Linked DNA regions of Mus musculus. The protein of the gene in region 1 interacts with the protein of each later gene in a biochemical or structural test. Links are inferred from orthologs where the notes say so. Each region holds a gene or a part of one and is shown in the gene's direction. Other genes may lie near its edges.

Region 1 (4,386 bases):
GTGGCTCACAACCTCTTAGAACTCTAGTTGCAGAAGGTCTGATTCCTCCGGCCTTGGTGGGCACCTGCACTCATGTGCACATACCTGTAGGCAGACATGCACGTAATTTTTAAATTCTATTTTATTTATTTTGTGTGTGAATATGTGTCTGTCCACATTCATGCTATAGCATGCTTGTGTTGGTTGGAGGAAAACCTGCAGGAGCTAATTCTCTACTTCCATTGTGAAGGTCCCAGAGATCCAACTCAGATCTTTGGGCTTGCTTGGCAAGCATCTTTACCTACCCAACCATCTTACCAGCCCAGCGTGGGGGGAGGGGGGGACAGAAAGACAGAGACAGACAGAGACAGAGAAAAGGTGACAGTGAATTTAAATTGATTTAGTTACCTTTGTCCACAGCTACCACCCTTTCCCTCCTTCTCCCGTGAAGTGAGCTGGGTTGCACGTCCTCTGGGCAATCAGGCAGAGGATTTGTACGACACTGGGGCCTCAGCACACACCTGAGCCCCCCTGCAGGCCTGTGTCTTCACACTGGAGTCAGGACCGACTTCACAGCTTCACAGTGCTGCCTGCCGTCCACCACCCTCCAGATTGCTTCCTCATTATAAAACGTAAGATATACTCCCTCAGCAACTCAGGGTGGCCCACTCCTACCAAGTCTGACAGCCTGAATTGGACACCTGGGACCCACATGGTGGAAGGAATCAGATGTCCTCTGACCTCCACACAGGCTCTGTGACATACTTACGCTCCAACACACAAAATTAATAAATGTGGCAAATAAACGAATAAGAAATTATGGAAGCTGGGCATGGTGATACATACAGCTTCTAACTAATCCTAGCACTGGCGAGTTAGTATGTTGAGGCCAGCCTGGTTACCTAGTCTACATAGTGAGTTCTGGAACAGCCAGTTCCATGTCAAGAGACCCTCTTAAAAAAGAAAGAGAGAGAGAAAAGAAAGGATGGAGATGTGGCTCAGTGGTAGGATGCTTGCCTAGTAGCATCCTGAATCTGTATGATGGCTCAGGCCTAAAGGCAGGAGGATGTGTTCAAGGCCAACCTCCACCACATAGAGAGCCTTTGGGGCTAGCCTGGATTACCACTATCTGTTTAAATGAAACAAAGATGTGAGGCAGGTCTTCAAAGGTTAACTGTAAGCCGGGTGGGTTCCCTTAGCATTACTGAGGGCCACTGGCCCCTGGGGCTGCAGAACTCTCTTGGCAGACTAAAGTACCCTAGTGGCCAAGGCAGGGAAGGAACAGCGTAACTAGGCGGGAAAGCCGGGTGCGCGCCCAGGAGACCATGTGACGTCTCGGGCCCGCGCAGGCTCGCCCGGCAGGCGCGGGGGCGGGACGCGCGGGGGCGGGGGCGGAGCCTGGCGCGCGGCCCCGCGGTGACAGGGCGGTAGGGAGGGGCGGGGCCGCGGGCGGGGCAGCGGGGGGAGGCGGGAGGAGTGGAGATGGCGGCGGCGGCGGCGGCTCCGGGGGGCGGGGGCGGGGAGCCCAGGGGAACTGCTGGGGTCGTCCCGGTGGTCCCCGGGGAGGTGGAGGTGGTGAAGGGGCAGCCATTCGATGTGGGCCCACGCTACACGCAGCTGCAGTACATCGGCGAGGGCGCGTACGGCATGGTCAGGTGAGGGGGCGTCCCGGGAGGGGGCTTCGGAGCAGGGACAGCAGGTGTGTGCTCGGGACATGGGGGGCTCAGGGAGTGTCGCAGGGGAAGTATCGTGCAGTGACTTCTGGAGGACTAGGCGCTACTTTCTCCAGGGAGGGGGGTTGGAGGCTTTGAAGCCACCTTGTATTGTTAAGGGAGGGGCACCTGGGGGACCCTAGAGATAAAGGTGGAGCTAAGAGGATGAAGGGGGAGTGAGGGACCCACGAGCAGGTAGTGGGAGCCTTGGTTCCCCCCTGATGAGGCTGTGACAGAGAGTTTGAGAGAGGAGAGCAAAGCTCAGGGTGGGGCAAACCTTTGCACCTCTGCCCCTGGCAAGGCTAGGGGCCCAAAGTAGGGAAGGGTCTCTAGAATGTGCCTTATTTTGTGGTATACGGGTTTGTGAGTTCTCGCTGCCCCACTGTGTGCTCTGCTCTGGGCCTTTGTTCCTATGGGAGCAGCTCTGACCCAGGAACCGCACAGGGAGACCTGCCTGCCCCTCCTTATCTCTTCTCTCCTGTCCCATTACTGAATCCTCTAGGCTTCATCTACTTTCTCCATTTAACTCCTATCCCCTGGACCTGTCTGGGATTGAGAGAGTCCAGCTTGGGAAAGGGGAGGAGGGTGAGGGCAACTAGAATGTAAGAGGGTCCAGGAGAAAGGAAGTCGGTGAGTGGCCACTCTCTTCCTCTGTTTGTGAAGTCACTGAAAGGCTGCCTGGCTGATACCCAGCTTTCCCCTGGAGATCCCAGGCCTTCACAGCAGGAAGGAGCCAGCATTGTTTACATTTGGCCAGAACCCTCTCCTCCTCTCTCCAGTCCCTGCCAAGACCTGGGTGGGGCCAACAGGCCTGGATTCCCCCTTTGTAAGGCCACATCTCTCTGGCCCTCTCAGCTCAGCTTATGACCACGTGCGCAAGACCAGAGTGGCCATCAAGAAGATCAGCCCCTTTGAGCATCAAACCTACTGTCAGCGCACGCTGAGGGAGATCCAGATCTTGCTGCGATTCCGCCATGAGAATGTTATAGGCATCCGAGACATCCTCAGAGCGCCCACCCTGGAAGCCATGAGAGATGTGTATCCTTCACCTTAGCCACAGCCCCAGAGTAAAGCTAGGGAGCTTGGCTCTGTTGTCTGTGGTCATCTTTTGTACTACCCTCCAAAAAAAAAAAACCCCAGCAAAGTAACTTTTTAGCAGAGAGTCTACAGAGCATGAGAGCACACTGGCAGGCCTTGGATCCTGGTCTGTCGCAGCCAAGTGGAGTGGCCTTGAACACATCCCTTTCTGCTCTGTGCCCCAGTATGGTGTGTGGGGAGGGAGAATGCTGTGGAAAAAACGATCTCTATGGGAGCTTTGTCTTCTGACATCTGCAGGTCTGTGACATGACCCAGTCTCTGCCCACAGCCTGTTCTTGCTCAACAGACTCACGATTCTTTCTTTAGAGACCTCACACTGGATGGAAAGCAAAGAAGAAAACCGGTATTGGGCAGGCCTAGTGCTTTGGTTCTAATTCAACCTTCTAGCTTCCCTGTGTGACGGATGAGTTTTACTGTGTCCATTTCAAAGATAAGGAAACCGAGGCTCCTCTGTGTTAAGTTTTGCAGTGCCTTCTAGGGGGAAGGGGAGTGGGCGATACTTAATCCAACATGGAGGCAGTGGAGGCTTTCAAACCACATTGTATTGTTAAGAGGGGGAACCTGAGGACCCTAGAGTCACAGGGTGGAGCCAAGCCTTTGCACTCCTGCCCCTGGCTAGGCCGGGGGCTCAAGGAAGGGTGAGGGGCCCTGAGAGTCTGCCTGAATTCGGCAGTTCCTGTTAGTAGCTTCCTCTTCTCCCCCAGTTGGCTTCCCTGGAGCCTTCCCACCTTTCTGAGAGCCCCACCCTGATCACCTGTGGACTTGTACCTTGACCAGGGAGGTTAGTCCAGCCCTTGTTGCCCTTGCTTGACACTACTTGCCTAGTTCAGACATCCAGTTCATTGTCCATATCTACTTCCTGCCTGGCTCCATTGTTAGCAGACGGTAGCACCCATGGCCTTTTCCCTACCCACCCCTCCCAATGCCAGGATTTGTTCTACAGCCTCTGCAACTCTGACCACAGGAAATCGACATACTCCCGTCTTGCTGCATGACCTTCAGCAGGTCTCTGCATCTCTAGACTTGCACATTTATAAAGCAGCAGGGTTGGTCCCTGTGTGTATATATCTGCAGGTGCTTATTCCCTCGTTTCTTCTTTTTGAGAAAGGGGTCTTGCTATGTAGATCAGGCTAGCCCTGAGCTCACAGGGATCCAACTGCCTTTGCCTTGGGGGTGACACCAGCCCCAGTTTACATGTCTTCTATAGAAGACAGTTCAGACTTCAGTTTTTTTTTTTTTTTTTTTAAGAAAGTTTCACAGTGTATCCCTGGTTGGCCTCAGGCTAACTTTGTAGACCAGACTGGCTTTAAACTTCTAGGCAATCCTCTAGCCCCTGCCTCCCAAGTGCTGAGATTATAGGAGTGAGGTGCTCTACCCAGCTCCTGACTATTCTTCCAAAGATAAGCCATTTGTTTTTGCTTAATCTTTGTTTTACCTTCAAGTATAAAAGGACTCTTAGTTCCCCACCTTCTGGTGTATGGTCAAGCGCTCTGTGGGAGCGCACTGTTGGGGAGTGTCTTCCTCACTTTCTGGCACAAATCATCCCCATAAGGCAGGCATTTATTTTTAAGCAAACAGTTACTGTGTGCCAGATGGT
Region 2 (3,809 bases), on another chromosome or scaffold:
ACATCCTCTTCTCAGCCTGGCCAGACCACCAGACTCCAGAATCAGCGGGGCCCCTGCTGCGCCTGGTGGCCGAGGTGGAGACTCCAGAGACAGCTGCCAACTCCGGGCCTATAGTGGTTCACTGCAGGTAGGGACTTCCCTGGTCCCAGCGCAGATCCAATGCTTGCCTTCTCTGCTCACTAAGTCTCTGGTGTGGAGGCATCCAACGCCACACCAGACAGACCCAACTCTTACCTAGACAGAGCTCTGGCTTGTGGGAAGTTTCTAGTGAGGTAGAAATGAGATAAACTCCGTCCCCACTGTTGAGGAGCCCGTTTAGGCACCAGATAACATTTTCGTTGGCTTAGGTCTTTTAGTGTTGGGATTGGTTTTGTTTTTTGCTGGGTTTGTTGTGTTGTTTGGTTTTTTGTTTTATTTTTTGTTGTTGTTGTTGAGACAGGATCCCTCTTTGTGCCCAAGGTTAGCATCAAACTCATGGCAATCCTCCTGCCTCAGCTTCTCAACCTCTCAATCTCAGTTTGGGATTACAGGCATGAACTGTAACGGGCTTATTGGAAACCTATTATTGCTATCATCAGGCACAATGTTAAATACTAAGACGATAACGGTGAACAAAACAGTTTAGTTTCTTCCCGGGCAGGTTAATAGACTAGTCAGAAGAGTAGCAGATTAAACAATGAAGCAGACCACAATTCAGAGAGAGCTAGATGGAGTAGTATAGAGGCCACAGGGTAAGGTCACCTAATACCTGAGAGAGAATAAGCCTCTGAAAGGGGGAAAGGAAAACGTTCAGGCAGAGAACCTTATATGCTCAGGAAATAAACTTTAAAACAAAACAAAACAAAACAAAACAAAAAAGATACACTGTCAGGAGGGTCAGAGAGGAGTCCCAAGCTTGTGGGTGGGTGGAGCTTGTTGTGGGTGGAGCTTTGGGGGGCTTTGTGTGGGTGGGGCTTGGTGTGGGTGGAGCTTGTGGGTGGAGCTTGTTATGAGTGGTGCTTATATGTAGGGACACTGATGGAAAACAGTATGGAAGGCAGCTAAGGGCTTCATGAATCGGACTTGCATGATTGGCTAAGACACTTAGATTTGCCATTTTGTTTTGGGTTTTGTGATGCTGAATCCAACACCCCAAATCTACCATTTAAAAGCAATGCCTGGGGCCGGGCACAGCGGCATATTCCTGTATTCCCAGCACCTGGGAGGTAGAGACGGGAGTACCAGGAGCTGAAAGCCTATCTAAAGTACATAGGGAGTTCCAGGCCAGCCTGGGATATATGATGTTTTGTTGAGAGGGAAAGAGAGGAGGAGGAGGAGGACGAGGAGGAGGAGGGAGAAGCAAACAGTACACACAGGGCATGCTTGGACCCATGCAGAGGGCGCGCGCGCACACACTTCAGTGCTGGAAGTCACTAGTGGCTTCTACACACCCCAGTATACACCTCCTTCTACTGAAGGCACATGTAAGACTTATGTGGGGAGCTGAAAGCCAGAAAGGGCAAGAAGGGGAGGGGGTGTGGGAAGAGAGAAAGGTGATGGAGCTGAGAAGAGGATAATGGGATGGGGGCCCTGGAGCATCTGTGGAAGCTCACATGGAGCTGGGAGGAGGCTGTGGTCAGAGAAGGAACGCTCTGGGGGACAGCCATTGCACAGGCAGGTGCTGTAAACAGATGTGATCACCACCGTGTGCGCTGGACTAGGGTGTGGCAGAGCACACTTGAGGCCGAAGCAGTAAGACTGCTAATCAAAGGTCAGTCCTGGCTACATGACTAGACCCTATTATCAAAAAGAAAAGAAAAATCAGGGGTCACCACGGTGCCTCCATGGGTAAAGGCACCCGCAGTCAAGCCTGACATCTGAGTTCAATCTCTGGGCCCTACATGGTTTAAGGACAGAACTGACCCATGAGAGGTCTCTACTGGAGCTTCACATAGGTACAGTGATGTGTGTGCATGCATGCACACACACACACACACACGCACACACACACAGAGAGAAAGAGAGAGAGAGAGATTAAAATAAATAAAAATATAAAAGAAAAAGAAAGAAAAAACAACTGGAAAAAGTACAAATCTGGGCTTCAATCCCAGCAATTGGGAGCAGAGGCAAGCAGATGGCTGTGAATTTGAGGCCAGCCTGGTCTACCCAATAAGTCCAGGGCCAGCAAGGGCTACAGAGAGAGAATCTGTCTCAAATAAACAAACTAACAAAAAAAAAAAAAGACTTGATATGGTGGCACTCTTCTGTAACTCTGACTGTCCTGGACAACCAGGACTCAGGAGGCTGAAGCAGGAAGATTACAGTGAGTTTAGGATAGATAGTAAGTTCCAGGCTTCCCTGGACTTTAGAGTAAAACTCTATCGGGGGTGGGGTGGGGTGGGTAATCCCAGAACTTGAGAGGAAGAGGCAGGTGGATCTCTGAGTTCAAGGTCAGCTTGCTCTACATAGTGAGTTCCAGGACAGCCATAGTGAAATCCTATCTTTAAAAACATTAATTAATTAATTAATTAATTAATTAATTAATTAATTAATTAATGGTGAGCTGGACTAGGCATAGAGTGAGAGTAATAAGGGCTTACAGACTTCTCCTGCGTAAGCTGGTTTCTGCCTCCACCAGGGATCCCAGGGATGCTGGAATCGGAGATGTGCAAGTCCCACCCCACAAACAGAGCACTTTAATACCATTTCTTCTTTCATCACGTGAAGCCTTGCCTCAACCTTCCATGCTCACTTGTCTCCCCCATTCCCTGGTCTCCTGTGACCTCCCCATCCTCTCTCTGGTTCCATCCAGTGCAGGGATCGGCCGGACCGGCTGCTTCATCGCCACCCGCATCGGCTGCCAGCAGCTGAAGGCCCGAGGGGAGGTGGATATTCTGGGCATCGTGTGCCAACTTCGACTAGACAGGTGGGTCCATGGGAAACAGGTGTGGGCGGCCACAGTAATTGACAAGGACATTGGTGGCTCCGAGGTGCACATCACCTGCAGGTCCTCCTGGAAGAAAGCAAGGAACTTGTTTTATTCAAAAGAACTTTCTAGTTTGCCAATAACTAAGCCCACATGAAAGATGGTCTGAAATGTTAGCGTGGGGGCCTGGAATTAAATATGTCACCCTGAATTTTCCCTCAATCTCTCCTGGCCCCCAAATTCTCTACTCAGGAGAAAGCTAGGGAACAAGTTAAACAAAGGGTAGTATGATGCTGCATGTTTGTAAACCCAGCACTCAGAAAGCAGGGGCGAGGGTGGGGAATGTGAGGTCAGAGCCTTCGCTTGCTGCTTAGTTAGCTCAAGGCCAATGAGGCTACAGAGGGCAAGCGTCTTGACTTTTTTTTTTTTTTTTAAAGAAAAGATACAACTTGTTCTAGATACAAAGTAGCTATGGGTATAGTGGTATTCACTGGGCTTGAAGATGGAGAAGCCAGTTCAGACTCTGGGGTATATGCTACTAGCTGCTACGGTAATTCTGTAGCCACTCCCCCAATACACACACCCTTTTTTTTTTTTTTTTTTTTTTTTTTTTGAGTCAGAGTCTATGTATTCCTGGCTATCCTGGAGCTCATTGTGTAGACTAATCTGACCTCAAACTCACAGCCTGACTCTGCCTCCTGAGTGCTGAGATTTAAGGTGTACACCACCACTGCCCTGTGGCAATTGAGAGGGGTAAAGTCTACTCCCCCAACTGGAAGAAGAAATGGGTTCACTTCTTGAGTGTTTTAGAAATGAGACCTGTTCTACACATGTGGGGCTAACGGTTCGTTTTTAAGATTACAAATGAGAGAGTTGAGCATGGGTCTGATTTTGCTGAAGAGCT

What was found.
Region 2: the proteins of Mapk3 (region 1) and Ptpn7 form a complex in vitro, tested with the Homo sapiens proteins (3 studies listed by BioGRID, with this or other methods). The link is inferred for Mus musculus from reciprocal best matches to the Homo sapiens genes MAPK3 and PTPN7.

The regions. Positions count from the first base shown.
Region 1 is NC_000073.6:126,758,185-126,762,570, forward strand, and holds the start of Mapk3 (mitogen-activated protein kinase 3), read left to right. Parts: upstream 1-1,441; 5' UTR 1,442-1,461; coding exon 1,462-1,634; intron 1,635-2,546; coding exon 2,547-2,729; intron 2,730-4,386.
Region 2 is NC_000067.6:135,139,152-135,142,960, forward strand, and holds part of Ptpn7 (tyrosine-protein phosphatase non-receptor type 7), read left to right. Parts: coding exon 1-127; intron 128-2,791; coding exon 2,792-2,905; intron 2,906-3,809. UniProt on the Homo sapiens protein: Protein phosphatase that acts preferentially on tyrosine-phosphorylated MAPK1. Plays a role in the regulation of T and B-lymphocyte development and signal transduction.